Linked DNA regions of Xenopus tropicalis. The protein of the gene in region 4 interacts with the protein of the main gene of each other region in a pairwise test. Links are inferred from orthologs where the notes say so. Each region holds a gene or a part of one and is shown on either strand. Other genes may lie near its edges.

Evidence for each region.
Region 1: the proteins of ptn (region 4) and chd3 interact in a two-hybrid assay, tested with the Homo sapiens proteins (2 studies listed by BioGRID and IntAct). The link is inferred for Xenopus tropicalis from reciprocal best matches to the Homo sapiens genes PTN and CHD3.
Region 2: the proteins of ptn (region 4) and sgta interact in a two-hybrid assay, tested with the Homo sapiens proteins (2 studies listed by BioGRID and IntAct). The link is inferred for Xenopus tropicalis from reciprocal best matches to the Homo sapiens genes PTN and SGTA.
Region 3: the proteins of ptn (region 4) and ubqln4 interact in a two-hybrid assay, tested with the Homo sapiens proteins (2 studies listed by BioGRID and IntAct). The link is inferred for Xenopus tropicalis from reciprocal best matches to the Homo sapiens genes PTN and UBQLN4.
Region 5: the proteins of ptn (region 4) and dnajb11 interact in a two-hybrid assay, tested with the Homo sapiens proteins (2 studies listed by BioGRID and IntAct). The link is inferred for Xenopus tropicalis from reciprocal best matches to the Homo sapiens genes PTN and DNAJB11.
Region 6: the proteins of ptn (region 4) and taf1d interact in a two-hybrid assay, tested with the Homo sapiens proteins (2 studies listed by BioGRID and IntAct). The link is inferred for Xenopus tropicalis from reciprocal best matches to the Homo sapiens genes PTN and TAF1D.

Annotation. Positions count from the first base shown.
Region 1 is NC_030679.2:146,918,622-146,922,121, forward strand, and holds part of chd3 (chromodomain-helicase-DNA-binding protein 3), read right to left. Parts: intron 2,763-3,500; coding exon 2,631-2,762; intron 1,722-2,630; coding exon 1,622-1,721; intron 680-1,621; coding exon 488-679; intron 1-487.
Region 2 is NC_030677.2:99,258,909-99,262,922, reverse strand, and holds the start of sgta (small glutamine-rich tetratricopeptide repeat-containing protein alpha), read right to left. Parts: upstream 2,801-4,014; 5' UTR 2,757-2,800; coding exon 2,657-2,756; intron 1,663-2,656; coding exon 1,559-1,662; intron 866-1,558; coding exon 787-865; intron 1-786. UniProt on the Homo sapiens protein: Co-chaperone that binds misfolded and hydrophobic patches-containing client proteins in the cytosol. Mediates their targeting to the endoplasmic reticulum but also regulates their sorting to the proteasome when targeting fails.
Region 3 is NC_030684.2:133,265,887-133,270,163, forward strand, and holds the start of ubqln4 (ubiquilin-4), read right to left. Parts: upstream 2,801-4,277; 5' UTR 2,776-2,800; coding exon 2,638-2,775; intron 1-2,637. UniProt on the Homo sapiens protein: Regulator of protein degradation that mediates the proteasomal targeting of misfolded, mislocalized or accumulated proteins.
Region 4 is NC_030679.2:6,056,056-6,059,555, forward strand, and holds part of ptn (pleiotrophin), read left to right. Parts: coding exon 1-104; intron 105-3,500.
Region 5 is NC_030685.2:43,695,059-43,699,211, forward strand, and holds the start of dnajb11 (dnaJ homolog subfamily B member 11), read right to left. Parts: upstream 2,801-4,153; 5' UTR 2,783-2,800; coding exon 2,709-2,782; intron 1-2,708. UniProt on the Homo sapiens protein: As a co-chaperone for HSPA5 it is required for proper folding, trafficking or degradation of proteins.
Region 6 is NC_030678.2:100,288,672-100,292,171, forward strand, and holds part of taf1d (TATA box-binding protein-associated factor RNA polymerase I subunit D), read right to left. Parts: intron 2,300-3,500; coding exon 1,912-2,299; intron 1-1,911. UniProt on the Homo sapiens protein: Component of the transcription factor SL1/TIF-IB complex, which is involved in the assembly of the PIC (preinitiation complex) during RNA polymerase I-dependent transcription.

The DNA.
Region 1 (3,500 bases), about 140 Mb from region 4:
CCCCCTTTAATCGATTACGGCCGGGCCCTGTCATCCGATTGGTCGCGCCCCGTGCATACATGTGAAGAATCAGCAGCAGCAGAAGTCGACGATGACGACTTCGGGAGGCACTGTCTATGGGGGGCACTGTGTATGGGGGCACTGTATGAGGCACTTGGTGGCACTGTCTAAGGGGGGCAATTGGGGGCACTGTGTATGGGGGGCCCTGGCCAGCCTAGCATTAGGGGGCACTGTGGTAGGGAGGCCCTAATACATTTTAGGTCTGTGTCCTTTGCACTAATGGGAGGGGCCCTGGGGGAGGGGGGGCAGAAAATTTTGTTGAGGGGGCCCCATGATTTCTGATCGCAGCCCTGCTTTACACTATAGGACTGTAGTGAAAATGCATAGGGAAAGTTTCAGCCATATAGTCTTAGAACAATGGCGTACAAGACTGAAATTCCCATCTTATTCTCAAATTCCTTTCATTCTCTCCATTTTTTTCTCTAACCTCTTTATACAAGGAGTACAGAAAAACAATGGTTTGTATCGTCTTTCCAAGTCCCATCTCATCCGCCAGGATGGTGTCGGTTCCTTGGGCCCAAGAGAATCGCAGCCAGTTGAGTCCCTCCAGCTGATACATATGCAGTGTGCCGCCCGTGCTCGATACAAACTGGGGTTGGGTATCATACTTCACTGTAGGCTGCAAGGGAAACATACACAAGCGGATACTTTATCCCACAGATTAACCATGGTGTGAACTAGAGTCCTGAGTAGAACCAATTTTGAAACCCAAACCCACAACTCGCATTTCTACCCGCTTGGACCCACTACCCGACCCCCAACTTCCTTATCAGCAAACTGATCCCCTGACCACCATTAAAACAGGAAGTGCTGTTGCTGCAAACTGGAAGTGATGTCATCACTTCATCAGTGGACGGGGGGGGGGGGGTGAAAAAAAAAAACGTTTAGAAAGAGTAAAATATACATAAGAGAAATAGAGATAAAATAAGATAACATAAGAAATATAGATAGACCCGTGACCTGTCCCATTCGGAAATCCTACCCATAATCTGCAGGATACCTGTTTTCATTGGGTCATTGCTGCAGGACAAATACACGTGGCACTACCTGTCTACTAGTGATGTGCAGGATGAGAAAAACTTGACCCCCCCCCCACTCGATCCTAACCCTCCAGCAATTTTAGGTTGTGGGCAGGGAGAGTGAGTGGAAGAGCTCAACCTGAACCTACCCACGACCCGCAAGTGATGTGCTGAGGTTGGCCCGAACTGACCTGACCTATTGGTATTTGGCCGGGCCGCACATCACTACTGTCTACCCCCTTACACACTACTACTATTATGCCCGAGGGTTGGGTGGGTTCGGGCCAACCTTTGCACAACATTTTCTAGATCCAGGTGGGTACGAGTCGAGCTTTTCTGCTTGATCTTCCCACCCGAAACTTTACACTAGCGGCGTGAGCGTGCCACACCCCTTTTGTGACATCATCAGTGGGTGGGGCTGGCGCCGGTCCAGTTTTACTCTACCCACGCATCGCTACATGACAGATACAAAGACCATAGACACAGAGCAGGCTTACCCACCTATATACTACAATACCATGATACGTGTGGACAACACTTACGTCATTTATAGGAGAGCTGGGGACCCCGTGTAAATAGGATTCCTTATGTTGTCTCTTGTATTTCTGAGGGCAGCAGGCACTATCTCCCATCATCAGTTGCCTGAAAGAAAGAATTGGAAGGATGATTGCCAGTTTATCACCACCAAAAAAAGGAGGTAATGTGTGGCTCACAGGTATACTTGACTATATACAGGTATAGCTTTACTACCATTGCTGGTTGTACAATGAGCGGCCATTATAAAGGGGATCTAACCTAAAACATTAATTGATGCAGACTTAATCAGATGGTTCCCCTGAGCACTTTGGCAATTTATAGTAGTTTTCTCTTTTTCTGATATATTTGCAGTTTTAGACCACTAACACCAGGCTTTTACTCTTTTTAAAGGTTAAAGTTTCAGCGACCCTTCTAGTGATGTGTGGGTGAACATTTTGTGGACCCACACCCGACCTGCTGCCTCCCAACCCGATTCCAACCTGACCTGGCAATGTACCTCTATTCATAGACCCACGCCAGACACGCCCATTTCTGATGTCACAAAAGGGACTGGGCGGGGCAGGCGCACACCTATAAATAGAGGCTTCCAGGTCCAGAAGATGGGCAGTGTAATGTCACAGATGGGGCGGGCAGAAGCAAGAGGACAGCCCAGACCCATCCACGACCCAACAATATGGTGCGAGTGCTGATATTAATAGTTTAAAACTGCTAATATTTCAGAAACCACTATGAAGAAAAAATTAATGTAAATTGCAAATTATTGTAAACTGTTTCGATCATTTCATTTCTTGGGTTTAGATCCCAAGCGCAGTAATAGCCGAGAGGAGGAAGGTGCCTGGTAATCCGTGAGGATGAAAGAGAGCCCCCCAGCAAACAGACTTTACCTAAACCATCAAGCTGTACCAACAGTTAGGGCCCTCCCAGAAATGATATAATGCTGCCCCTTTACTTCTAGGAGACATACAAGCGGAAGATTCCGGCACTGCCATTTCTACCTGTGGCTTTCAATGGTACCTGTGCCTCCAGTACAACGGCTTGTGGTATTCATAGTCTGGCAGCTTCATGGCATCCTCCTCCCACGTGGACTGATCATAGGACAGGTCTCGCCATTTCACAAGGTAGTGATAGTTCCCTCGCTTATCCAGACTGAGGAGAGAATGTTGGGAAGCATAAATGGTGCACAGACTCGGCAAGTACCAATTACATACAGATTAAATCAAATTAGGAGCCATCCGCAGCATATGGTCTCCACAACCTGAAACAGTGATTGGTTGATGTGATGCTCCTCCCTCCATCTATTAGTTGAATAAGTTCCTATCAGATACTGATCTATCTACTATCTTGTCCCCATACAGCAGTGCCTGGGTATAGTCACCTTTAATAAAAATGCCTTGTTTAATAATCCTTTACACATCTACAGGCAGGGAGGTGCCCATCTATGACCATATGGAGTCTCTGGTACCATTTTCTATCAACAGAATTCTGGCAACCCAAGAATGAACTAATTTGTAGCCGTAAATTCAGTGATCGATTGGCCGCAGTAAATTGGGGTTTTGTAATAAAATGTACTACGTTTGCCCAGGAGCAGTAACCTATGGCAAACCAATCAGCAGGCAGAATTTTCTGGTTATCTGTTTAAAAGCAAACATCTTACTGATTGCTATGGGTTACTGCTCCTGGGCAAACTTACGGGGTTATGTAATAAAAGACACTAAGCTTGCCCAGGTGCAGTAACCCATAGCATCCAATTAGCAGGTAGAATTTAAAAGTCACCTGTCTAAAAGCAATCATCTTATTGGTTGATATGGGTTACTGCTCCTGGGCAAACTTAGTGCCTTTTTATTACATTTGGGGGTTAGTGTCTAATGAAATATGGGGGGGGGG
Region 2 (4,014 bases), on a different chromosome or scaffold from region 4:
GGGAATTATATTAAATGGACAAAATCAGTGGCAAATGGCAAAGAAATCTGGATTAAGGGTGAAAGGTGAAATGAGGGTGATATAAAGAAAAATATAGGAAAAAAGTTAAGATGTGAATTTAGAGAAGTGGAGATTATATAAACGCCTTTAAATCAAATATCCTTATACTGCCATACTGTCTAACTATGCTACCACAAGTATTTTCTTGTCCCAAAATGTACTCCTTAATGCCATTTTTTTTTTACCAATATACCATGGCTTCTCAATTAATGCAATTGAATATTCTGCATAACCTCACAGTCATGAACAATTAATACAAGGGACAATTTTAAAGGGCATGTCGACCCCAAAAATAACTTTTTGCATAAGAAAAGAAAACATAATTCTAAGCAATTTTCCAATATGAAAAATAGTTAAAAATTTGTAGCGCTTTAAAAGTTATTTGTAAATGTAATTGCTATTGAAAGCAGCATTTGCTGAACTCCTGGTTGTTACTTTCTAATCAGTGTTGCAACTGTCTCCTCCAGCAAGTCAAGTCTGTCAATCTGCTGCCTTGTGTTACATTGTTTCAACAGTCAGAGTCACCAGGGTAGAGAATAGAAAAGGACAGGCAAACACTGCTTTTTAATAGCAATTATAAATACAAATTACTCAAAAATCATTACAAATTTGTAATAAATGTATATTGCAAAGCTGCTTAGAATCTTGTTTTCTTTTATTAGGCAAAAATTATATTTTGCGTTGCCTTGTCCTTTAAGAGATCATGCAACATGTCAAGTGTCCAACCTTCTGTCTTCAATCTTTCAGCTTCTGCTACATCCTCATCACAAGGGGAGGCCAGGCCAGAATTAACTTGCGGAGAGTCCTGAATTTGGGAGGAGAGAAGAAGAATGCTTTAATTAACAGCGCATTAAGTTACCATTTTCCCAAAACTATGGTCTAGACAGCAAACCAATCTTTCTTCTTTGCTAGTTTTAAGTTTCAGTTTACAAAACGGTAAGAAAGCTTAGAATGTAGAGCTACAAAGTCTTATAGTAAAAGCTGTGATTAAAGGAGAAGGAAAGGCTAAATCACGGAGGGGTGCCAAATGTTAGCCCCCCCCCACCAGTGATTGTAATCTCTTACCTGATACCTGTGCCCGGTGCTCCTGTTAGGATGAAATTGCACTGGCCCAGGGTATATGCAAGCTAGCTTTCCTCTTCCTCCTGTCTTCTTTCTTTATAATCCCAGGACAGACACATGCGCAGTTGAGCGGAAAAGCTGGCTTTTCTCTCTACTGAGCATGTGAAGAAGGATCACTAGCTCACATACACACCAGCCATGCAGTTTTCTCCTAAGAGGAGCACTGGTTGGGGGTTTTAGGCAAGCAATTACAATGATTGGGGATGCCTAAGACTTTGGCCCCAGTAACTGTAACTTTCCTACTCCTTTATGTTATCAAGTTTGTAAGAAAGATGAAATATGGTATGTAGACTTTAAAAAGTTTAGAATTTCGCAATTCATTTTTTTCCAAAACAATGCCATTTCATGTCAGTCAATAACTAATTACAAGGATTACCTGACATGTGGCTTCTGTAAATATCTCTTGGAGACTCCTTGGTACAGCTAAGTTACTGTCTTCAATGGAAACCTCAAAGGCTGTCTCCAGGCACTGAATAGCAACTGTAAAATTCAAATTACATAATGCTTCCATCTAGTAATTATACACAAATATATTTAAAGTAATCCAATAGTTCCTGCATTCAAGCATCAGAGAAAGACCAGAAGACTTCCCTGGGATGGAACACTTAATTCATTCAATGCAGGCTTGCATTGAAAACATTTGTGGACTAACATTCACAATATTAATTTACAAACTTGTACATTTTCATTTTTTACAGTTATTAAATGAATGAATCAGGGTGTAATTGAGACTGATCAACAGAAACACTTCCCCACCAGAGGTGCAAGCTAATACAACAACCAGACAGCAGTTTGGAAGTCACAATGGATGATTAAAAGAAGATGAACAGAAAAAAAGATAATCAAACTAACAATAAATCTGAACTCTCACATTCATTCAATTTTACTCGCCCAGGTCAATGATCTCCAACAACCAGAGAGCATTTTCAGTTGCAGGCTGAAAATTGTTACATTAATAATTTAAAAAAACAAAACATTCATAACACGTTATACACTACATAAAAAATCTTAACTTACTCTCAACATCCTGATGGGCTATTTGGTAGCCCCAAATGGACTGCTAGCCTGCAGGAGGCTCTGCTTGGAGTAAATCTGTGTCTGGCTTTCAAACCTGCCTCCAAGCCAGAAATTTTAAAATGGGCACCTATTTTGAGGCCGGTGGAAGCAACATCAAAAGGGGTGGTAAGCAACATGTTGCTTGCGAGCCACTGGTTGGGGATTACTGCCCGTATGCATGGTAAGAAGCATTTAGATATTAGAATGCATTTAAAAGTACTGCTCTCCATCCTCTGGACTACTGCCTGTTAAACTTGCACTTCAAGTATCTGGCAGTAGTTCAGTAGCCCCAGGTGGGTGCAGGCTGAATATCATAAGTTTTATGAAAAAGCAAGGAAAAGAAAAAACTATTTTGTCTCATAAGAATAGTTCCCCCATCAAATAAACAGAAAGATAGAATATGAAGTAACAACCAGACCTTCCAGGCTCTCCTGTGCATCTGAGGAAAGCCCACCATTGCGTAACTGGTCATGTAAATGCCGAATAATGGAGAAAGCTAAGCGTTTTTTGTCAGCCATTGGATTTGTGAACACTTCAAGTGACAAGGTCCGACTCTGCAAATAAACTGGCATTAAAACATAAACAATGTCAGTGAATATGAATTCATATCTGATAAAAAAAAAAATAGATATATTTTTCCAGGTACCATTCAGAATCACCAGTCTTTGCCATTTTATCATTAAGCAAATATTCACAAGTACATTTATACAAATGATTAACAATGCACCATTCTCTGCAGGCATATCCAATAATGTTCGTCATTTTTAGCTCCCCTTGTTCAACAAATACTGTTGTTTAGAGCGGCCACTGGATATGCCACAGGTCTCAAAGGAAAAAGAAAACAGTGTTTATGTACATATGGTCACCCACAACCCATATATCTAGGGCCACACTTATACACATTTTCAATATTTCCACCCAGTTAACAGGGTTTGTATGACATACACACACTGTATTATCTTCCAAAGGTAGACTTCAACATAAGAGCTGCAGCATCTGCTAAAATACCTAGTATTTTTATCACTACGGCATAGCACTTTCAGAAACACCACAGGTCCCTTACAAGACAGGGCATATTTGCCCCTGGGCGTAACTCCACGGAAACCAATCAGATTTTTTCTTTCCCAACCTTCAGCCAGCTGAAAACAGCTAATCACTGATTCGTTGGCAAGGGTTACTGCCAAGGTGCAATTTTGCCCAGTGTTGATAAATGAGCCCAGTGTTGATAAATGAGCCCCAATGACCTTTCCATTGCATGGATGATTAATCAGCTGAAGAATTTTAGGGAAAGCCCAGTTTAAGGGCTGTGGCACATGAGGAGATTTGTTGCCAGCGATTTTTAAAAGAGCGATTTGGCGACAAGACGAGCGACAAGATATAAATCAATGGAAATCGCCAGCGTCAGCTTCAAATCGCCTGCTGTTTAAAATCGCACACAGACCCTTTTCTGAGCGACTTGAGTAAACATGAGGGGGGGTTGACTGTTGAGTGTACCATGGGTAGCAGATCGCCTGGAGCTCAACTCGCATGAAATCTCTTTGTGGGTATTGTCGTGGCGACTTGTCGCCAAAGCACCAGGGGGAAAAAACGCAAATCTCCTCGTGTGCCAGAGCCCTAAAGGCAGTAGCGGTCAGAAATGTGTCAAATGGATGGTACTGTGTCAAATGGATGGTACAGACGTCAACAATGCTGTTATCAGCACATACAGGATCCTGTGGTTCAGTAATGGCTGAGCGGATGCAGACAGGACACCCAGACCTAGGCAAAGTCACCTCC
Region 3 (4,277 bases), on a different chromosome or scaffold from region 4:
GGTGTTGCTCTCAGTGCCCCCAAACCAGGGAGTTATTTTGAATTCCTGACTTGGGGGCAAGTTTTGGTTGAATAAAAACAAGATTTCCTACCAAATAAAGCCCCCTGTAAGCTGATAGGGTGCATAGAGGCCCCTAATAGCCAATCACAGCCCTTATTTGGCTCCTCCATGAACTTTTATGGTGCTTGTGTTGCTCCCCAAGTCTTTTTACATTTGACTGTGGCTCATGGGTAAGAAAGGTTGGGGATCCCTGCACTAACCCATCCCTTTCTCTACCAGACAGGGTCGCCTCTCTTTCAGACTGATCACCCCTTTCACTTTCAGCTTGGCCTGCTTGTCCACCCATCCCTTCCTCTTCCAGGCTGGGCTTCTCTATCACTCAGCCATATCTGTCTCTCCATCATTCTGGGCTCCTCACTCTACCAGACTGATCATCCCTTTCTCCATCAGGCCCCGGCCCATTTATTCCAATCTGATCTCTTTCACTTTCAGGTTGGGCTCCTCTGACTCATCTGCACATTCTCTATCAGACTGTTCTTCTCTCTATCAGACTGTTCTTCTCTCTATCAGACTGTTCTTCTCTCTATCAGACTGTTCTTCTCTCTATCAGACTGTTCTTCTCTCTATCAGACTGAGCTCCTTTCACTTCACTGTTCTTTCTGCCTGTTCTTGTCTCTCTATCAGACTGTTCCCCCTTCCTCTTCCAGGCTGGGCTTTTCCATCACTCAGCCGTATCTTTCTCTCCATCAATCTGGGCTCCTCACTCTATCAGACTGATCTTCCTTTTCTCTATCAGACCGATCTTCACCCTCTATCAGACCGATCTCCTCACTCTATCAGACCGCTCTTCTCACTCTATCAGACTGTTCTTCTCTCTATCAGTCTGAGCTCCTTTCACTTCACTGTTCTTTCTCTCTGACTGTTCCCTTCTCTCTCTATCAGACTGGACTGCTCTCTCTATCAGACTGTTCCCCTCTCTCTATCAGACTGTTCCCCTCTCTCTCTCAGACTGTTCCCCTCTCTCTCTCAGACTGTTCCCCTCTCTCTCTCAGACTGTTCCCCTCTCTCTCTCAGACTGTTCCCCTCTCTCTCTCAGACTGTTCCCCTCTCTCTATCAGACTGTTCCTCTCTCTCTCTCAGACTGTTCCTCTCTCTCTCTCAGACTGTCCCCCTCTCTCTCAGACTGTTCCTCTCTCTCTCTCAGACTGTTCCTCTCTCTCTCTCAGACTGTCCCCCTCTCTCTCAGACTGTTCCTCTCTCTCTATCAGACTGTCCCCCTCTCTCTATCAGACTGTTCCCCTCTCTCTATCAGACTGTTCCCCTCTCTCTATCAGACTGTTCCCCTCTCTCTATCAGACTGTTCCATTCTCTCTATCAGACTGTTCCCCTCTCTCTATCAGACTGTTCCATTCTCTCTATCAGACTGTCCCCCTCTCTCTCTATCAGACTGTTCCATTCTATCAGACTGTTCCCCTCTCTCTATCAGACTGTTCCCCTCTCTCTATCAGACTGTTCCCCTCTCTCTATCAGACTGTTCCCCTCTCTCTATCAGACTGTCCCCCTCTCTCTCTATCAGACTGTTCCCCTCTCTCTATCAGACTGTTCCATTCTCTCTATCAGACTGTCCCCCTCTCTCTATCAGACTGTTCCCCTCTCTCTATCAGACTGTTCCCCTCTCTCTATCAGACTGTTCCCCTCTCTCTATCAGACTGTTCCCCTCTCTCTCTATCAGACTGTTCCCCTCTCTCTATCAGACTGTTCCATTCTCTCTATCAGACTGTCCCCCTCTCTCTCTATCAGACTGTTCCATTCTATCAGACTGTTCCCCTCTCTCTATCAGACTGTTCCCCTCTCTCTATCAGACTGTTCCCCTCTCTCTATCAGACTGTCCCCCTCTCTCTCTATCAGACTGTTCCCCTCTCTCTATCAGACTGTTCCATTCTCTCTATCAGACTGTCCCCCTCTCTCTATCAGACTGTCCCCCTCTCTCTCTATCAGACTGTTCCCCTCTCTCTATCAGACTGTCCCCCTCTCTCTCTCAGACTGTCCCCCTCTCTCTCTCAGACTGTCCCCCTCTCTCTCTCAGACTGTCCCCCTCTCTCTCTCAGACTGTCCCCCTCTCTCTCTCAGACTGTCCCCCTCTCTCTCTCAGACTGTCCCCCTCTCTCTCTCAGACTGTCCCCCTCTCTCTCTCAGACTGTCCCCCTCTCTCTCTATCAGACTGTTCCCCTCTCTCTCTATCAGACTGTTCCCCTCTCTCTCTATCAGACTGTTCCCCTCTCTCTCTATCAGACTGTCCCCCTCTCTCTATCAGACTGTCCCCCTCTCTCTCTATCAGACTGTCCCCCTCTCTCTATCAGACTGTCCCCCTCTCTCTATCAGACTGTCCCCCTCTCTCTCTATCAGACTGTCCCCCTCTCTCTATCAGACTGTCCCCCTCTCTCTATCAGACTGTCCCCCTCTCTCTCTATCAGACTGTCCCCCTCTCTCTATCAGACTGTCCCCCTCTCTCTATCAGACTGTCCCCCTCTCTCTATCAGACTGTCCCCCTCTCTCTCTATCAGAGGGACCATTGCTCTCAGGCTGGGGCTGGCCCCTCTCTCCCCAGGCAGGATGGCGGGGTTAGCCGCCCCTCACCTCCAGCACGCACGCCGTTTCCCCAATAACAATCTCTTCCTTGTCCTTGGGCGTTTTGACGGTGACACGAATAAGTCCTTTTCCCGGAGCCGGCCCGGTAGTACCGGAGGCCGCACCATCAGCGCCGCTCTCCGCCATCTTCTCTGCACCCGCCCACCCCGAGGAGGAGCAATAGGAAGGAGGAAAGCCGCGAAGAGAGGATTATAGGCTTCCTATGACTGGCAAAGCGCCGACCGTTCTACTTACCTCTTCGCCGCATGGTGACACCTACCGGCACGGAGGACGAATCACAGGCACTGAGGTTCCAGCTGTGCTGCGTCATGTTCTAAATCAGGTGACACGCTCACCCAATGAAACGAGAGTATGAGGGCGAGGCTTGAAAATACGGAACAATAACACGCCACACGACCAATTACAAACTATTTGAATTTATTGGATTTGCGTTTCACGGCCTAGCGTTACCTTGGCAACAGCTAATCCAGTGTCTTGTTCGGGACATTTATATAAAGGAACCCTGCAGTTATTTGGACATCCATTTGGGTGGAAAGGATTCTGTGAAGCTTTTATATGGATATTGTACGAGATACGGCATTCTGAGCTCGCCGGACTACATTACCCATCATACCTAGCGCCTACTTCCTGGGGAGGCGGGCTGTGGGATTGCTCATGTGACCGCGGCCCTGTGACAGGTTAGGCTGCAGCACTGAGCGGAATATGTTGCGGCCCAAAGCGCTCACCCAGGTTCTGAGCCAGGCCAACACCGGGGGAGTCCAGAGCACCCTGTAAGTACCGGAGCCCCCCGAGTAGCAGGTCTTTTGTCTGCCTCGTCCGCTCTTGGCTGCCACAGTGCCAGTGCCTACAGAGCCTACAACTCCCGGCATCCTTTCCCTACATCCTGCTCCCTCATTTCAGTGCATTTATCCTGGCCTATTGCTCCCCTCCCTGCAATTTGTCCCAAAACTGCTGCCATACTCCAGTGCATTCTTACATCCCTGCCCCATGGCGTTACCTTCCGCTTATTTGTCCTATACTTTCCCCAATGCCTGCCAGCCTCCCTTCCCTTCCCCAATGCCTGCCAGCCTCCCTTCCCTTCCCCAATGCCTGCCAGCCTCCCTTCCCTGCCCCTCTGCCTGCCAGCCTCCCTTCCCTTCCCCAATGCCTGCCAGCCTCCCTTCCCTTCCCCAATGCCTGCCAGCCTCCCTTCCCTTCCCCAATGCCTGCCAGCCTCCCTTCCCTTCCCCAATGCCTGCCAGCCTCCCTTCCCTGCCCCTCTGCCTGCCAGCCTCCCTTCCCTGCCCCTCTGCCTGCCAGCCTCCCTTCCCCGCTGCCTGCCTGCCAGCCTCCCTTCCCCGCTGCCTGCCTGCCAGCCTCCCTTCCCCGCTGCCTGCCTGCCAGCCTCCCTTCCCTGCCCCTCTGCCTGCCAGCCTCCCTTCCCTTCCCCAATGCCTGCCAGCCTCCCTTCCCTTCCCCAATGCCTGCCAGCCTCCCTTCCCTGCCCCTCTGCCTGCCAGCCTCCCTTCCCTGCCCCTCTGCCTGCCAGCCTCCCTTCCCCGCTGCCTGCCTGCCAGCCTCCCTTCCCCGCTGCCTGCCTGCCAGCCTCCCTTCCCCGCTGCCTGCCTGCCAGCCTCCCTTCCCTGCCC
Region 4 (3,500 bases):
AACCAGGACCGGCAGCTTGAAGAGAGCCCTGCACAATGCCGAGTGCCAGAAAACCGTGACCCTGTCCAAGCCCTGCGGGAAGGTCACCAAACCAAAACTTCAAGGTGAGTCTCCCCCCCCTTCTTATGTCACACATGGTATATTCCCAATTTGCAACCGGAATGTTTCTCCCCTTGCCATGAACATTATTGTGCCCCGTCTCTCCCTGCTGCCATCAGTTTGTGCTTCCTGGGGTCACACGGGGAGAGGGCCCCGGCCTGTGCTTATTGGCCGCGTGTCAGCGTCCAGCTTCCATTACACTCTGAGCCGACGCTCCCCTCCCAGGAAAGGGAATCCATTGCCTCCTGACATGATTATCCTGTTTATTCTGCACGCCCTGAATTATTGATCAGCGCTGCAAGTGCTTCTGGGAAATGACTGACCCAGAGGCATAAATATTAATACTAATGAGCTGCAACAATGCGCCATCTATAAAGTGGTGTTTAGGCGCCCGAGCCGCTTTGTGGCTACTGGAATATACAGTACGACTTTACTGTCTGCCATAGGAGGGATCCTTTCTCCCATGTAATTATAGATGCAAGAAAATTCTCCAATGAGCATTCTACTGACTAAATATCTCATTATAAATGCAGGAGAAGTGACCAATGAGAATGCTGATTCCCAGCACTGTGTCGGCCATCTTGCTGGTACCTTACATATAGAGATAATGATGGCATTTTTCCCGTCATTATATGGCACAGGAATCAGACATGGGGATAAAGGGACAGACTTGTTCAGTGCTGGGAAACTGTGCTTATTGCTCCCAACTCCAATTGCAGGAACAGAGAACAGGGAGCCGGATTTACTCACATCAGCTGGGATTCCCATTGGGGGATTTGGGGGAAAGTTTTATTGGGCAATATTGCTTTAAGAATCCAACCCTGATGTTGCTGGACTACAGCTCCCAGCATGCCTCAGCCTTCATTATATGTTACATTATTCTGGGATTTGTAGTCCGGATACAACTAAATAAAGTTGAGCAGTGCAGAAGGGTTTATATCCCCTTTAACAGAAAGCAAGTATTGGGGCTGATCAGGGTTTAACTGGGTGGGTCAAGTAAATCTGTAATACCTACCCCAGCCTTGGGGGGTGTTTTATTGGCTAGGCCAGTGGTTGGTTTGTGGATAAGGCATTAGTGGGTATCAGGTAAAAATGCAGGTCTGGGTCAGAAAATGGACCCATGTAGGACTGTACCCTGATCTCTACTGTCAGGCTCCCTGGAGTCCTTGGTTATTTTCACAGGGACTAAACCAAGTAGAAAGGAAAGCAGGGAGAGCAGAGAGATGGTGCCTCTAGTGGCCACAGACACAAACTGCGGCTCGAAAGGCTTCCCCAGTGTGGCAGCTCCATTCCTAATAAACGCCGCACAGCCCTTCCTCTGATTATAGGAGAATTCTGGGGGAAATGGCAGGGTTAGCTTTGCCTTTCCGTATAAATGTGACTATGGGGGGGGGGGGGAAATTGCTAAACTGGAGCATATGTCTCTCATCTAAACCACTCCCTGGTTGCTAAGGTAATTTGAGCCCTAGCAACAGGATATCTGACTCTTTCCAGATTTCAAATGGGGGTCACTGACCCCGGCAGCCAAACCCTATTGCTCTGTGAGGCTCCAGTTTTATTGTTATTGTTACTTTTTATTCCTTATCTTTCTATTGAGGCCCTCCTCTATTCATATTCTCTTTTAAACCACTGATTGGTTGCTAGGTTAAATAGGACCCTAGCAACCAGAAAACATCTAACTCTTTGCAGCTTTCAAATGGGGGTCACTGACTCCGGCAGCCAAACCCTATTGCTCTGTGAGGCTCCAGTTTTATTGTTACTGTTACTTTTTATTCCTTATCTTTCTATTCAGCCCCTCCCCTATTCATATACCAGCCTATCATTCAAACGCCTCCGTGGTTGCTAAGGTCATTGGAGCCCTAGCAACAGGATAACTTACCCCAGCAGCCAAACCCTATTGCTCTGTGAGGCTCCAGTTTTATTTTTATTGTTACTTTTTACTCTTTATATTTCTATTCAGCCCCTCCCCTATTCATATACCAGCCTCTCATTCAAACCACTCCCTGGTTGCTAAGGTAATTTGAGCCCTAGCAACAGGATATCTGACCCCAGCAGCCAAAACCTGTTGCTCTGCGAGGCTCCAGTTTTATTGTTATTGTTACCTTATTCATATACCCGTCTCTCTCTCTCATACCACTCCCTGGTTACTAAGGTAATTTGGACCCTAGCAACAGGATAACTGATGAAATTCAAAACGGGAGAGCGTAAAATAACTTAAAAAAAACTACCAATAATAAAAAATGAAGACCAATTGCAAATTGTCTCAGAATATGACTCTCTACATCCTACTAAAAACTCTTTAACCCTTTACATTCTGTAGATTGTACAATACAATGCGTTGATTTTACGTTTCAAGGTCATGCATTGGGGGGGCCGATACATATTTATTCCCTTAATGCTGCTTATTCCATTTCCCCCCTATTTTATATCATCATTACCCGGCAGGAATTACGGAACAATCCGCGCTTATGTTCCGCCAGACTGTACCTGGGGGGCAATTTGTGAAGCTAAAAGCGGGGAGCACTTACCCTTCGTTGGCTGGAATGGTTGGAACGTCAGCGCCGGTTCCATGGAAGCTCATTGTGATCGTGTTATTGTTATTATACAGTGCGGGGGGTTTATTGTGCTCCATAAAATGATACGTATGGCTCGTGTCGGTTTCTCTGCCCTATTATTTCAGCTCATTTTCTTAGATAAGCGGGTTGGTAAATACTGTGCCCCGGCTGTGGCGCTTCCCTCTATTGCCGGGACTGTAATTCTTATAGCGATCCTGCTGCTTTATATTCACCTGCTTAGTATAGAGAAATGTTTATACAGCCATAGAGTTATGGTATCTCTCTGTACGGGCTATGGGCAAACTTAGGGGGCTGTTCCTGCTGAATTGTGCTTAGTACAGGGGAATCCCTATGTGCCATAGTTTTATGGTATCTCTCTGTACAGGATATGAGCAAACTTAGGGGGCTGTTCCTGCTGAATTGTGCTTAGTACAGGGGAATCCCTATGCTGCCATAGTTTTATGGTATGTCTCTGTACAGGCTATGAGCAAACTTAGGGGGCTGTTCCTGCTGAATTGTGCTTAGTACAGGGGAATCCCTATGTGCCATAGTTTTATGGTATCTCTCTGTACAGGCTATGGGCAAACTTAGGGGGCTGTTCCTGCTGAATTGTGCTTAGTACAGGGGAATCCCTATGTGCCATAGTTTTATGGTATCTCTCTGTACAGGCTATGAGCAAACTTAGGGGGCTGTTCCTGCTGAATTGTGCTTAGTACAGGGGAATCCCTATGTGCCATAGTTTTATGGTATCTCTCTGTACAGGCTATGAGCAAACTTAGGGGGCTGTTCCTGCTGAATTGTGCTTAGTACAGGGGAATCCCTATGTGCCATAGTTTTATGATATCT
Region 5 (4,153 bases), on a different chromosome or scaffold from region 4:
TCAAATATGTCCATAACTGCTTGAAAACTGTGCTCTACCCAGACCTTATGCCAGCTTCCGGTTTAGACTCTTCAGTATATCACTCAGAGCCACCGGCCCTCATAGACTTCTATGACACCCTCCTCACCTACTTAAAGTGAAGTGAATATTCATAGAGTGGTTGGGGCTTAGTGAGCTCACAGACAGTCCATTCCTGCTCTACTCGCTCCTCTCTTTTGTATGCTGCTCTCATATAATGCCAGTTTTAGGAGGAAAAATGCTTTCAAAACATCTTTCTTTCTGCATCATTTCACATTTTGAGGGAGGATGAATATTAGAACTGAATATGAACTTTATATAAAATGTCTCCTTTAACAGAATTGGAGGATAACTTATTTATGTTACTCTATTTTAAGAGCCAGAGCATATAAAGGGATAAACAAATAGGTGATGGGGATATTGGGATAAGCAAATAATGCATTCAACTGCAATTACAAAAAAAAATAAAATCAATAAAAAAATTCAATGTTACTGAGAATTACATTCTTGTATTGTTGCACTTTTTAGAGTGGAGGCCGAAGGAAGTTAAAGGAAAACTATACTTCCCAAACAATGTACGTCTCTATAAAAACATATTGCATAAAACAGCTCATATGTAAAACTCTGTCCAACTAAATAAACCATTTTTATAAATAAAAGTTTATTAGTATGTGCCATTGGGTAATAGAAAATTGCCATTATAAGTACTAAGGGCCACCCCCTGGTATCATACAATTTACGGTGCACACAAATAAACCAAGGGCACACATACATATTAGGTCAGCCAATTAATGGAGAAAATTCTGACTTTTACTCCAACACTATTTCTTGTAACAGTTAGAGCTGCATTATTTCTGGCCATGTGATCTCTAAGGAAGCTCACAAACTATCACAAAATGATGGCTCAAGGTAAAAAAAGCAATATTTACTGAAATATATTAAAGTTTGGTAAGATTCTTTAGAACACCACTTATTATGATATAAACTATTTGCTGGCTAAGTATTCATTCTGGGGGTATACATTTCCTTTAACTTCTTAACAGCAGAATTCTACACCATCATTTGCAATTACGATCAGATTTACGAATGGGTTTTTGCCAGTACTCGATTTTTCTGATATTGTTTCCCGTATAATTAGAGTTTTACGAAAATAATCCCATCATTTGTGATTTATGAATTTTTTTGAGGGGGGTAATAAAAAAAAAAATCAGGCAGGTTTGATCTATCATGTATCACTGGGTCCTATTAGAAGAAAAATAGAATAGTCAGTGACAGCTTGTCCTTGACACATTTTCAAGGAGAAGTAAACCCCCTTTCTGTTTCACCCAGTTTCAAGTGTAAATTAATCCCCCTCATTGTTTTCTGTTGCACGTAGTTTCAAAGGGAAGTTAATTGACTTCTATTTCACACGTTTTCAAGTGGAAGTTAAGCCCATCATTGTTTTGTATTTCACCCAGTTTCAAGTGAAACTTGAATGTGCGCCAATTCTCCTAAAATGGCTGCTGGAGTAATTCCTGTTTGGGAAAAATAAAGAGGATTCATGGAAACATCCGTTCAAACTCAAAGTTTTCGGGTTTTAACATTACTTTCGGCTTACATAACTATTGTTCATGACCTATTGTTCTAAATGTGTTTTATACATTATAATATGCATTTAGATAGTAAAAACAATGAAATAATTATATGAATCTATTCCATATTACTTTAAACAATGGAAATGCCAAGTGTTGCTGTATAATATTTTTATGACGAATGGTTGCCAAATCTGCACCTTCACTAACAGTCACCAAACAAAACACCAGGCTTTTCTTGATCTACTGTAAAATATTAAAGCTCAATTTGTTAAACATTCTTTTGCTGCTTCCCTCATCTTGTTCACTCTGTTCTCATCATATCTAGTATAAATAAATTTAAAGCAATTGGACTTGTTTGGTAATCATTGAAGACGTTTCACTAGTCATCCGAGCAGCTTCTTCAGTTCAACTGACTGGTATGGGAAGTCCTCAGCATAAATACTCTTGAAGTATATAAGTATAATTAGAGTATATATGCTGAGGACTTCCCATACCAGTCAGTTGAACTGAAGAAGCTGCTCGGATGAGTAGTGAAACGTCTTCAATGATTACCAAACAAGTCCAGTTGCTTTAAATTTATTTATACTAGATATACCATGACCTGGATGAATGAAAATCTTCATAGACATATCTGTTCTCATCACTTTCTCCCTATGTTCCTATCACTTTCCCCTTCATCTATAGTACAAAATACCAAAAAATGTTCCATTTACCAATCACTACATTTTACTTACTTTAATTTCCCCACTCTGCATGTCACTGGCATAAATGCAATTTTTTAAAATCTCCATTGTGAAATATGATTTACAGCATACTCGGACTTTTGCAGAAAGTAATTAAAAAAAACATGGTGGAAGACCTTTGGTTACACAAATTCGGTCCCATACTAACATGTAATATACAGTATATGACATATAAATCTAGTCTGTGGAAACAGGTTGACACACAGGAACTATAATAAAATAGCCAAAACATACATTAATGGTTAAACAAAAAGTCAAAATTTAAAGTTACAAACAGCCACTCAAGGAAGCCTGCATTTAATCCAAATTTACATTTTATGAATGCAATCCTGTTAAATGAAAGGGTAACCACTGCAAATAACGCGATCCTTACCCTCCGCTGACAATGACCATCAGGTAAAATATTAAGAAGCAAACACCGGTAGTGGATTTATAGCAGACCTTCATGATTCAGATACGAGGAACAGACAAGTTTCTCAATTTTCACATTCACCACAACGAGGAGTATTTAGCGAAAAGCAGAAGCAAACGTAATACTACAGCGCCGCAACCAATTACAACGGAGCACGTCATAAGACACGCATATATAAATAACCAATAAGAAGATTTTGCTGTGTAGTTTCCGCGTGATTTTGTCCAATGATATTCACAGACATGGCAAACGTACATGCTTAGCTGTACAGCCAATAGTAATACGTAAATGGTCGTGCTTATGGTTTTATACGACTGATCCTGCACCTCGGGAAATAGAACGCGCGTTTATGTGCTTTCTTACATTGAATGGCTATGGCCTGGTCTGTAAAAATTGCCTTGACGCCAATAATGTCAATAGAGAAGAAAGATAAAAGAACAGCACAGCAGTGTTTGAGCAAATTTTAAATTCGCCCAAATGACATGATTGTTAATGTGCGTAATGCAATCAGAACTTTACATGAGAATGCAATACAACACGGCACGCTTCTATATAATTTAAGCTTTAGTTTCAATAGTCTTCGATTGTAAATTCTGTGGGGCAGGGACCTCCATGCACGTCATCTAGCTCTGTGGAATATTTAATGCAACTGTACTTTTTATTTATTTGTAATTGTACTCTGCCTTTATCTATTATATTAATGGCCCCTACTTGTTTTTGAATGTGTTGTTATGCTGTACAGCACTGCCTATATAGTAGTGCCATACCTCCCAACATTTGAAAAATGAAAAGAGGGACAAAAAGATTTTGACCACGCCCGCTTTAGTGGCCACGCCCCAATTACCACACCCCATTTTTTTAAAAAATACTCCTTTTGTATATTACATTAACATTTATTTATAAAGCGCCAACATATTCCGCAGCGCTGTACAATAAGTGGGTTACATACATTGGACATACAGAGTAACATATAAAGCAATCAATAACCGATACAAGAGGTGAAGAGGGCCCTGCCCAAAAGAGCTTACAATCTACAAGTAGATGAAATGGCGGGATCAGACGCAAATGTGCTATACTCTCCTGTATACTGTACTACCTAAGGAAAACAATATAGCAACTCCTACATATAAAATACAAATATAGAAAGAAGGCAGACAGTTATAAGTGAGTTATAACTATGTATCAGCTTTGCCCCCCATACACTGTAGCCCCCATACACAGTAGCCCCCATACACATTAGCCCCTATACACAGTAGCACCCCCATACACAGTACCCCCCCCCCCAATACACAGAGCCTCCATACATGCTGCTGCTGCTTCTCCTTCAGTGGCTCCTCTCTATATGCGGCTCCTTGTTCGGCGGAGCCAGGCCCTTTTATAAGGTTGCGTGTGTGCGTGTGACGTCA
Region 6 (3,500 bases), on a different chromosome or scaffold from region 4:
AGGTTGAGAACCACTGCATTAGACAATCTGTAATTGATCTTCATTTTCTAGTTATGGTTTTGATTTATTTAGCTTTGTTGTTTAGCGGCTCTTATAGGGTCCAATTTACCTTAGCAACAAAGCATTGGCTTGAATTAGAGTCGCAAGCATGAATAAAACAGAATAAACACAATAACAATAATATTGCAGCCACATAGAGCAATAGTTTTTTGGTTGCAAGTGTCAGTGAACCCCATTTGAAAGCTGGAAAGAGGCAGAAAAGGAGTTATATTATTTAGCAATTATAAAGAAATTAAAAAAATTACAACCAATTGAAAAGTTGTTAAGAATAATCCATACTATAATATACAAAAGTTAACTTAAAGGTTAACTACCTCTTTAAAAATTAAACTGATATATTACATTACAGTGCAATTTAAGTTCATTTCTTGCTTTTAACACACTCTCACATCTGAATATTTAAAGTTCTTTCAAGTTTGTTGAATAGAGAGAGACTGAATAGGTATGTGAATGTATAAATCAGATACATCAGATAAGAAATGCAATTTAAGTGAGCTATATTAGGATAGACAGTGTAACAGTTCATGGTATTAATGTTTCATTCTAAGGTAAACTTAAGAGAAACCATTTTTAGAAATTATCATGTGCAATAAAACACTTAGGGGCTGATTTACTAAGACACAAATTCGAATCCGAATTGGAAAAATTCCGATTGCGATTTTTTCGTCGCCATTACGACTTTTCATAAATTGTCGCGACTTTTTCGTAACCATTACGATTTGCGCGAAAAGCCGCGACTTTTTCATAACCGTTACGATTTGCTCGTATCTTGTCGTGACTTTTTCGTATTGAGCGCTTGTAAGCGGCGGGCGAAACTTTCAGACTTAGCATGATTTTGGAAGCCTCCCATAGGACTCAATGGCACCCTGCAGCTCCAACCTGGCCCAAGAAAAGTCACCATACTGAAGCTTGAATGAATCCGAAACTTTCGTACTCAGCGCGAAAGCTGCGAAAAAGTCGCGACAATTCGCGCAAGTCGTAGCGATACATTTTGCGAAACATTCGGAATAGCTACGAAAAAATCGCGACAATTTTGCGAAAAATCGCAAAATACAGATCTTTACAAAAAAAACCGCATTCGGACGCATTCGGCCAGTTTGTGCAATAGTAAATGGGCCCCTTAGGGGCCCATTTACTATTCGTCTGATTTTTTTTTTTCTAATTCAGATTTTTAGTGCCGAAAAGTCACAGAAAACAAAATTGCAACATTTTTGAGATTTACTATGCGTCTAAACAGCTAAAAATCCAAATCCGATAATTCGCCAGCTAAAAATTGCCAAGATCATGTAGAGGCCAGCCCCTTTCCTGAAAGATCCTTCTTTTGCCTTGAAACTTTAGAGGTGTCAGATTTTTTACACTGGCTTTTATGTGACAATGCAATAAAATTCTAGTTTTCAGGGCGACAATTCAAAAAAGTTACAGCTTCTGTGACTTGTAAGTTCATATTTTTTAGTAAATGTCAGACATTTTATAAAATTATGAGAAATGTATGAGTTTTAGTAAATCTGCCCCTTCATGTAAATATTTTTAAGACATCTGTATGTTTGACCCTATTGTACAGTGCTACATAAATTAATAATGTAGGTGGGGGTATGCCATTCAGTGACAAGGGGTGGGGGCAAAGTAAAAAGCAAGAAAGGTACCTGCCTGGTGCCCACCGTCATTGTGTCCTAAGCAGTTGCCTCTCCCTACCCCAGTTCTAGCCCTAAAACAAAATCCCTAAATTAAGGCCTGGAAGGGAACATTGAGAACTTGAAACCGTTTATCTAATGGTATGTTCCACTGAATCTATTTACAATTTACAAATCAATATAATTGTTTCGTAAAGATGAAAATTTAAAAATATCTCACCTCATAAGGAAGATACCGTTTAAAATGCAAATATTTTTGGCCAGTAAAAGGGAACTCAACTGTTCTTTCTTTAAGTCGGCGATACTTTTCTTGCAAAGGAATAGTGAGCTTTTTTGTTGGAGGTTTCTTGGGTTTCTTTTCTGTAATTAAATGCTTTCTGTACTTCTTTTTCTGTCTTTTTCTCTTATGTTTTTTTTTCATTTTCCTGAACCGCTCAAAGATCTTTTCCAAAGGGACATTCTTTGGTAATGGTTCAAAGTCTGAGGAGTCAGATAAAGATGACAGTGGTGACAAGGGTTTGGGTCTATTTGCAGTTTGTCGTCTCCTGGTTCTTGAAGGTGTGCAGGTAATTTCAGTCTGGAATAGGCTACTACTGGATTCAGAACAGCTAAAGAAAGAAAATAAATGAAAACACTGTTACTGGGATAAAAATTTAAAAAAGAAAGGACACTAAGCTCATGGGTGCACTGTTACCACCTGGATACAGCAGTAATTATTTTGGGAGAGTGCATTTGAAGTGCTTAAAGAGCTGGGTGCATCCCACCATGTGAGCAGGTAGCCCTCCAGCTGTTACAAGAGGAGAACTGCCTCCACCTTTGGATTGAAGTCTTCAGGAAAATCTAGAGAGGCACCTTATGATACACGTTATTTAATACTCACAAAAAAAAAAACCATGTTCCTTCACATGGGTAGGTGGCCCTCAGTTGTCAAAGAACAAGAATTGCATGCACACTTGGCTGAAGGTAGTTAATCTGGGATAGCTGGAGGACCACTGTATGATATATACTATGGGATAATTACAAAAAAGCATGTTCATCATGTGAGTGGTGGACCCCATCTTGCACCCTTGCCTGGAGATAGTATATCAGGGACAGGTGGAGGTCAGCCCTTTGATAAGTGCTATTGAATACTGATGCAACAACAAAAATGTTGTTTTATGTGAGGAAGTGGCATCCCCCAGCATTACAGAACAAGAACTGTATGCACCCTTGGCTGACGGTAGGAAATCAGGGACAGCTGGAGAGCCACTGTCTGATGATTACAAAAAAGAATGTTCCTCCATATGAGTGGTGGCCCTCTGGATGTTGAGAACAAAAAAGGCATGTGTCTTTGGTAGGAGCGAATTGTTGCTCTGTGACAGCTGAAGGATCATCTAGTTACAACAGTTGGCTCTCTAGCTGTGATTAAATCACAAATTACTCAATATAAAAGTTGCCATACACAGGCAGATTTAAGATACCGATTAGAGTCCTTAGCCCTAATTGGCAGCTTGTCTGCCTGTGTATGGGGACCCAGACATGCCTCCCCGACCAATATCTGGCCAAAAATCAGGCAGGTTTGATTTTTCTGGTTGGATCAGGGACCGCATTGCCTCCTATACCCGTTTTTGTAATCCCATCATTTAACCCTAGCCCAATATCACCCACTTTAGGTGGGCATATCGGGAGAAGATCTGCTTGTTTGGTAATGAGAGAGCTAGTGATTAGAAAAAAAGGAAGGGAGGGTTCTGAAGATTGGGATTTCTGTGTTTTAGAAACTGTATCCTGGCAAGCTAAAAACTGTAGTAGCTTTTTTTTTTTGTATATTCT